Linked DNA regions of Mus musculus. The protein of the gene in region 1 interacts with the protein of each later gene in a pairwise test. Links are inferred from orthologs where the notes say so. Each region holds a gene or a part of one and is shown in the gene's direction. Other genes may lie near its edges.

Region 1 (3,910 bases):
AAATGTACTTGTGGTTCTGAGAAGTACAATGACCTGCAAACTCTCCTTCAGTGAGCAAAGGCAGAATGAAATTTTTGGGCATAGATTGGTTACAGAAATTGTCTTAGGGTTTGCATTGCTGTGAAGAGACACCATGACTAAGGCAACTCTTTTTTTTTTTTTTTTAAGATTTATTGATTTATTCTATTTAAGTATACTGTAGTTGTCTTCAGACACACCAGAAGAGGACACCGGATCTCATTACAGATGGTTGTGAGCCACCATGTGGTTGCTGGGATTTGAACTCAGGACCTTCAGAAGAACAGTCAGTGCTCTTAACCGCTAAGCCATCTTTCTAGCCTGGCAACTGTTATAAAAACAACATTTAATTGAAGCTGGCTTACAGGTTCAGAGGTTCAGTCCATTACCAACATGGCAGGAAGCAGGGCACAGTCCAGGCAGGCACACTGCTTGAGGAGCTGAGAGTTTTACATCTTAAATTGAAGGCCAACAGAAGAGTGTCTTCCAGGCAGCTAGGAGTCTCAAAGCCCACTCCCACAGTGACACACTTCTTCTAACAAGGCCACACCCACCCCAACAAGGCCTATTCTCCTAATAGTGCCATTCCCTGGGCCAAGCATATTCAAACAACTGAAATAGTTCCCTGTACTCTCCCCTTGAGCCCTGATTCATGTCCTAGACCCTGTTATGAGGGCTCTCTGCTAGCAGTTTTGGGGTCTAGCCTTCAGTTCTGACCCTTCTGAGATCCTCTCTTGGGGAAAGAGGGAAAGGACTCTCCTTACCTTCTTGTATAAGGCTCTGCTCTCATCTCTGGCCTGCCTCTGTGTGCTGTAGCTTGGCATGTGGCCGGCCCTACATTGCTTTGTTGGGTGCATAAGAGTGAGACTGCAGGCTTGCAGTTGGGGTTGCTAAATCCCAGTATCCTGATGAATCATGGGAGACTCGAGCGGCCGAGGGTTCAACCACTTGGGCTGCCAAAGTTCTGGACTCAACCTTTTTATTGAAATGCACACACAGAAAAGTATACAAATCTGAAATATGCATAAGTGAATCTTCATGAAGTGAACGCACTTGTAGCAAAATAAATCAACCCTGTCTGGCACCTGGCCTCCTTCCTGTCTCTTCATCACAACATTTTTCACGTGCAAGAGGAAATACTAGGAGACCATGGTTCTGATTAGGCTAGGCGGGGTTCTGTGCTTGAGGATTTAAGGGAGGAGCATGGATTGATGGTTAAGGTAGTTATGTATGCCCTGGGGAATTGTTGAGGTAGGGGGGATGTGTTGGACTCTGAGTTAGGGCTTCATAAATTTGTTAGGTTTGTGTAGAAGCAGGAGCTATTTAGAGAAGGCCTTGGGGGCATATGTGGGAGGGGCGGACCGGTTTGGAGGCGGGGCCTAGGAGCGAGGCAGGGCGGAGCCAGTGTGTGTGGGAGGAGCCTCCGCGCTCGGAGGGCGGGGCTCGCGCGCGCGCGCTCGCTGCCGGCGCGCCCCCTCTCGGCCGCCATGTTGGCTGGCGTGTGGGTGTCAAACGCTGCACAGGCTCGGGTCGCTCCCGCTTCTCCCGCGTCGCCGGCGGCTGCAGCCTTGCACTCGCGCTGGCCAGGAACGGAGGTGAGCCGGGACTCGCGGGGCTTGGTGTGGTGGTGGCTCGGGAGTCGGGGCGGGGCGGGGCTGCGCGCAGACCTTCTCTTCCAGTGCGTGGACGCCCCTAAGAGCACCGGCTTCCCCCTCGCCGGCCGGGGCGTGCACCGTGCGGCCAGCCGGACCCCACCCGGCTGGACGGCTCAGCCAGGCCCCGCCCCACCTGAGCCCGCTCGGAGCCGAGAGAGAGGCGACGTCTGCCTCCCGGCTTTGGCTCCTGTCCTCGCCTCACACCTCAGCGACAGAGCCTTCAGTTTGGAACAACCCCGCCCCTCCCCAGAGCGTGCTCGCCCCTCGAACCGGGTCCGAGCCGGCCGGCCCTCCCTCAGGGGACCGGGGGAAGGGGATACTCTTCCCCACGTCTTTCTCGCCCCCGGGACTGGATTCCCCTTCCCGGCCCCCACTCCACAGCACAGCGGGGACGGGGGCGGCGAAGCCAGGCTCCAGCTGCCTTTTGTTCCGCGTGGGATGGCAGAGACCTGGCGGCCCTGTTGGGCGAGTCCGGGTGGGCGAGCCGCGCGTGGGGTCGGCCTCTTCCGGGAGACCCTCGCTCTCCCGTGGGCCGGCTTCGTCGGAGCGCGAGCCGAGCGCGTTGGGAGAGGCAGGCCATTCCTAGAGGAGTCCGGGCCAACAGGTTTTTGTTTGCAACCTGAAGTTGGCCCAGTGGTTTTGCAGGGGGAGCAGATTGTCTGAGCTCCCTAGAAACCCTAGGTCGGCCGGTGTAAGTCTGTTGCTTGGTCTCGGGCCTCAGTCCTTCCCAGCGGCCTCTTCACTTTAGTGCTGCCTTGGGAACGCATTTGAAGTCTATGTTTCAGAAAAGATAGGATTTAGCTATTCTTGTGTTTTTTGACTAGGGGAACTAAGGCCCAAAATGTGTTAGCTTGCCCAAGGTCATCTAGGGATAGGGTGTTTGACACAGCTGGAAGCCCCAACTCTGGGACACTTAAGGATTTCTTCAACGTTTAGGATTCCCCCAAATCGCTTGCCTGCTATTTTTAACATTCATACAAGAAAATGGGCAAGGGAAGATGAGAAAGAAGTGTGAATTCTTCTTTTGCACAGTCAAGAAAATACCCTGTGGAAGAAGGGATTGAAATTGGGTTGAAATGATTGAAAAAGGTGAATTTCTTTGATCCATGTCCCTATTATGTAATATAAGAAAGACTTAACGGGAACTTTGTGGTCTTGTAACTCTAGATTTAGAGTGATAGCGGCAGATACTGGATTCTCTCTCGGTGATCGGCTTTGCATTGGTAATTAAGCTTTCCATCTATGTATTGTTGGTAATGAAGCTCTTGTCTGTATTTAAACGAGCTTGGGAGGAACTGCAGCTTTTCTTAGGGCATTTGTGATTAATGATTGTGTTGGGGAAACACCTGTAGGTCTTGGTTTTTTTTTTCTTTTTTTGAATGTTTGCTTTTGTTATGTTTGTGACAGGCTCTCACTGGGTAGTCAGTCTGGCCTGGAATGCACAGAGATCCACCTGCATCTGCCTTTTAGGGTGGAGATATTAAAGATGTGGGCCACCACACCCAGGCTGCTTTTGTGACTTTAAAGTTTGGTTTTCCTAGTTTTAAAGTTAGGCTAGTTATGTGTAACTGTGTGGCTGGGTTGTTGTTTCATAAACATGAATTGCAAAGTACTGTTCCACATGGGTTGATTTGAGTAATTTTGTTCAGTATTTGGATTTTTCCCTGAGCCCTGAGATAGAAGGATGGGGGCTGTGTTGGTCTCCTTTCGCTGCGGGGTGTATGGTGCCAAACATCTGAGTTACCAAGAAACGAGAAACTTTAAAAAAAAAAAGTGTGTGTGTCTGGGGGCCAGTGTATAGTGTTGGTACCCTCTGAGTGCAGAAGAGGGTGTCATGCCCCCTGCAGCTGGAGTGCATTTAGTTGTGAGCCATTGAAGTGGGTGCTGGGAAGTGAGCTCTGGTTCTTTAGAAAGTATGTGCTCTTGACTGCTTAGCATTCTCCCCAGCCCAGGTATTTGAAACTTCCAAGTGATGATACCTGGCATGGTGTTTGCAGTCTTGAATAATAGCCCATCCTTTGCAGAACCTCTCTGTGGAAATATGACTGCCTCTTATGTAATCTTTCATAATGAGGAATAGATTTCCCAAGAGTGGAGATTCTGATAAGAGTCCTGTGAAAGTAGTTGAAAAGTTTTGGAGAATCTGATTTATGTTAATGGTGTTTTTTTTTTTTTTCTTCTAGAAGTTAAAGGAAGTTTTAAATTTCACTAATAGTGGCAACTTTCGAGTTCTTTGT
Region 2 (3,910 bases), about 55 Mb from region 1:
AGACCATTGTCCATTGTGAACACCTGATTCGGGTGCTGGGACTAAAGGCGTGTGCCACCAGATGTGGCTATGGATTTTCTTTTACTGGATTTGTTGCTGTTTTATCTTTGTGGGACAGAGTCGCTGGACGGTTTGGAATTGAATACACAAACAAGGAGCCAGGGCTCAAACCCCCAGCCGTCCTCTCACCTCTGATCCCTGATTGCGTCATTACTAATACCCATCTTGGACTATGCTCTTTAAAAACTGCTGGGCTGGCTAGGGACATAGTCCAGCTTAGAACAGTGCTTTTCGTGATGTGCATGAATACTGGACTCAACTGATCATCATAACTTTGTAAACCCAGGCTCGGTGGTACACACCTGTAATCTCAGGACTCTTTCTCAAAAACCAAACAAACAAAAATCTGTAGCCATTTGACTTTTATTAGTGTGCACCTAGAAAAACAAACAAACAAACAAACAAACAAACAAACAGACAAACAACCCCAAAGCGAACAGAAGGGTCTCTTGCACTGTGAGTTAATAATGTACCTGCCATTTCCCAGAACTGTTTTACTCTGCAGCTGAGGCTGGTCTGGAAATCATTATGCAGCCCAAACTGGCCTCAAATCTGTGGCAATGTTCCAGGATGTAGGGCACCATGCTGTCTGCTTCAAACCAAACACTGGTGTCTTAAGGTTAAGGGTAGGTACGCTAAGATGCCACCCAGAAACTGAAGAGTTCTCCCAACCCTCGACAGCCCTGCGAAAGATACAACTCAGAGGTGGAGTTTAGATTCACTACAGCGCAGTGGGGAGACACCCACTAGCAGAAACGAGTCAGTGGTATTTTCAAAGTCCTACCTGGCGGTTGGTCATGTGCTTTGTCAGTCCACTCAATTATTCTAGGTCCTGTTTAAACCCTGCTGTTTAACTTCTGCAGCGGGATCCGCTAGATCAGAGCAGGAAGCAGCGCCATCGCGAGGCGGCAGGCGGCAGGTGCTGGGCGGGGAAGAGGGTGGGGAGCGGACCGCTCAGTCCCCAGAAGTTCACAGTCCGACTCTGGGTCCGGGATCTGGATCTGGGTCGATTAAAGTGGCGTATTTTATTTTTTTCGGGCTTTGCCAGTCCACTGTAGAAGGGACTGCATCTCGCACTGCTCTGTAAGTTTGCAATGAATACCCAAATGTAAGCGCGAACTACTCATGACAGTTGCGGAAATGAAGACGGCTGGTTACGTAATGTTTAAATGTACCATACACCAGATCATCAAATTTAAGTTACATTTCTTCGATTGAGTTTGCTTAACATGAGGAAGCTAGGATGAGAGAGGCGTACAAATGTTTAAGTAGTCTTGTAAATATAATCTCTAGCCTGGCCTATAATATAAAAAAAGACTACAAATTCCAGAATGCACTCGTCACTAAACGCAGGGCGAGGCCGCGGTTGCCGGACCACTGCCTGCTGGGAATTGTAGTTGGCTGCTTGTTTGTGATGCAGGTGCAACTTGGGGGAGGGAGAGCGGGAGTAAACTCTCCCCACGTGACAGTCCAGATCAGGTGGTTGGTCAGCCTGCGCGCAGGAACTATGATTGGCTGACTGTAATACGAACGACGCCACTAGAGGCGGGCCAAAGACCAGCGCAAGCGCAGAGCGTTGCGAGTCTCGGGACCCCAGTGGGAGAGACTATGGCGCTCAACAAGAATCACTCAGAGGGCGGCGGAGTGATCGTCAACAACACTGAGAGGTGAAAACACGGCGGAAGGATCCTGGAGACTTGAAGGGCGGGTGTCGGCCACTGTGTGTGGTGGGCGGTGGGATATGGTGGAGAAGGAAATTGATGGAGCGCTGTGGGGGGGGGGGCGTGGGGGGGGAGGAAAGAGGGAGAAAGGGGTGGTAACGGCCGGAGGCGGGGCTGGAGGGAGTGGGTGGGTCGTTGGGGAGGGCCGGAGTGCTGATCAGCTGGGGTGATGGGTGGGGGTGGGGCCAGAGAATGGTGTCAGGGTTTGTTTGGGAAGCCGAGTGAGGCCCACGGGTGATTTCTTGAACCCCTTCCCAAACGAAGTCTTAAAACATAGTTGCTATTTATTAGGCGTTCACTACGTCTTTACTATGCTGCGTCAGCTCTACCTTAGGTAATACATAATCCTGTGCCGCAGAAACTATTAGACACATTTTACAGGTAGGGCAAGTGACGCCTAATGAGGTTAAAATAACTTAGACCATTGTGCTGTGAGTAACAGAAGGGGAATTGAAGGAAGGTAACTTGGCCCCAAAGTCAATAGGCTTAACTACTCCTGTACAGTTTTCTCGTATATTCCAGAACTTCTCAAGTTCCAAAAGAAAGGCTGAGGCCCTAGAGGTGGTGGAACTAAATGTCTGTCAACTACTTAACCCGGTGACCCTTATAAAGGCTTGTCTCTTGCCTGGTTCTCTTGAATTCTTAATGGCTTGTGTCAGTTCCCCGAACAAAGGTCTCCCAACTTTAAGATTCTTTTTTTCTCTCCCCTCCTTGAACTGCTGGGCTTCTCTGTTCCTCTTGTTTCTTGTTCCTTGGAATTCTGACTCTCCTGACTTGCACTATCCGGGCTTGGATTAACTTGAGAGCCAAGAGAGACATGATGGAGGTCAGAGCCCACACCCAGTGTAGACAGGCACCCATCTTGGGACTTGTCACCTGGGAAGCTGACTCAGAGGAGAAGGTGGCAGTGACAAGGCCAGGTTCTGCTGACCTCGTGTGCGTAGGTCTTGGGAAGGGGCTGGCCAGCACATGTGCCTGGTGACCACTTCTTTAACCTGAGCTGCCCCTCTTTTATTGCACCAAGAAAGGATATTTGGGACAGGAGGAGACAGCTGAATGGAACCATACGAACTCAAACCTTTTTATCTTGTAATCTGAGAAACCTTACATTGTTTTCTGGTATACTTTGTCCAGTTCTTTGGCTGAGCCAAGTACTCTGATGCCATCTAATGACTGTCCCCACTTCTACCAGTCTCTCTGGTTTTTGAGGTATGGTTTCATTCCTGTAGCCCAGGTTGGCCTTGAATTTGAGGCAGTCCTCCTACCTCAGGCTTTTAAGTGCAAGGAATTCACCAGGGCTCTTTAGTTTCATTATTTGGGAGTGATTCCTTTTTGTTTGTTTTTCCAAGACAGTGTTTTTTGTGTAATAGAGCCCTGGCTGTCCAGGACTCACTAGGTAGTCCAGGCTGGCCTTGAACTTACAGAGATTCACCTACCTCTGCCTCCTGAGTGCTGGGGTTAAAGGCATGTGCTACCATACTGGGAATTTTTTGTCTCTTAAACTGAGTCTTACCTAGGTGGTATCTACCCTCCTGGGCCTCAGCACCTGGTTCATAGCTCATTGCTACCAGTAGGGTTCTAAGGAATAACTTGAGCCACACTTCTGAAACAAATGTGTCAGCAATAATTGAAGTTTAAGTATGATGCTCAAACTTTGGAATTTAAACTTGTAAACATTAATCTTTAATTCACAAACCACTGATAGAGATAAGAGCTGTGAACTTGCCGGGAGGTGGTGGTGCATGCCTTTGGTCCCAGCATTCAAGAGGCAGAGGCAGGCAGATCTCTGTGCGTTCAAGGCCAGCTTGGTCTACAGAGTGAGTTCCAGGACAGCCAGAGCTACACAGAGAAACCCTGTCTCCAAAAGAAAAAAGAAAAAGAAAAGTTGTGAACTCTTCCCAGAGAATTGAGTACATACACACACAAAGACACACACGCACTCGCGCCCCTATCTTAAGGGCTTTATGTGCAGAAGTTTTCTGCTGCTGCAGCTAGAGAAGCTTGGACTAGGGGCTGGAGAGCTGGTTTAGCAGTTAGAAATACTTCCTGTTCTCCCAGAGAACCCAGGTTTAGTTCCCAGCATCCATATGGAACAGCTCACAACCACATGTAACTCCAGCATCAGGGGG

Evidence for each region.
Region 2: the proteins of Epn2 (region 1) and Wbp2 interact in binary tests that used the Homo sapiens proteins (3 or more experiments, as listed by UniProt). The link is inferred for Mus musculus from reciprocal best matches to the Homo sapiens genes EPN2 and WBP2.

What each region holds. Positions count from the first base shown.
Region 1 is NC_000077.6:61,577,270-61,581,179, reverse strand, and holds the start of Epn2 (epsin-2), read left to right. Parts: upstream 1-1,492; 5' UTR 1,493-1,613; intron 1,614-1,663; exon of another isoform or gene 1,664-2,762; intron 2,763-3,910. UniProt on the Homo sapiens protein: Plays a role in the formation of clathrin-coated invaginations and endocytosis.
Region 2 is NC_000077.6:116,084,684-116,088,593, reverse strand, and holds the start of Wbp2 (WW domain-binding protein 2), read left to right. Parts: upstream 1-1,598; 5' UTR 1,599-1,668; coding exon 1,669-1,727; intron 1,728-3,910. UniProt on the Homo sapiens protein: Acts as a transcriptional coactivator of estrogen and progesterone receptors (ESR1 and PGR) upon hormone activation. In presence of estrogen, binds to ESR1-responsive promoters. Synergizes with YAP1 to enhance PGR activity.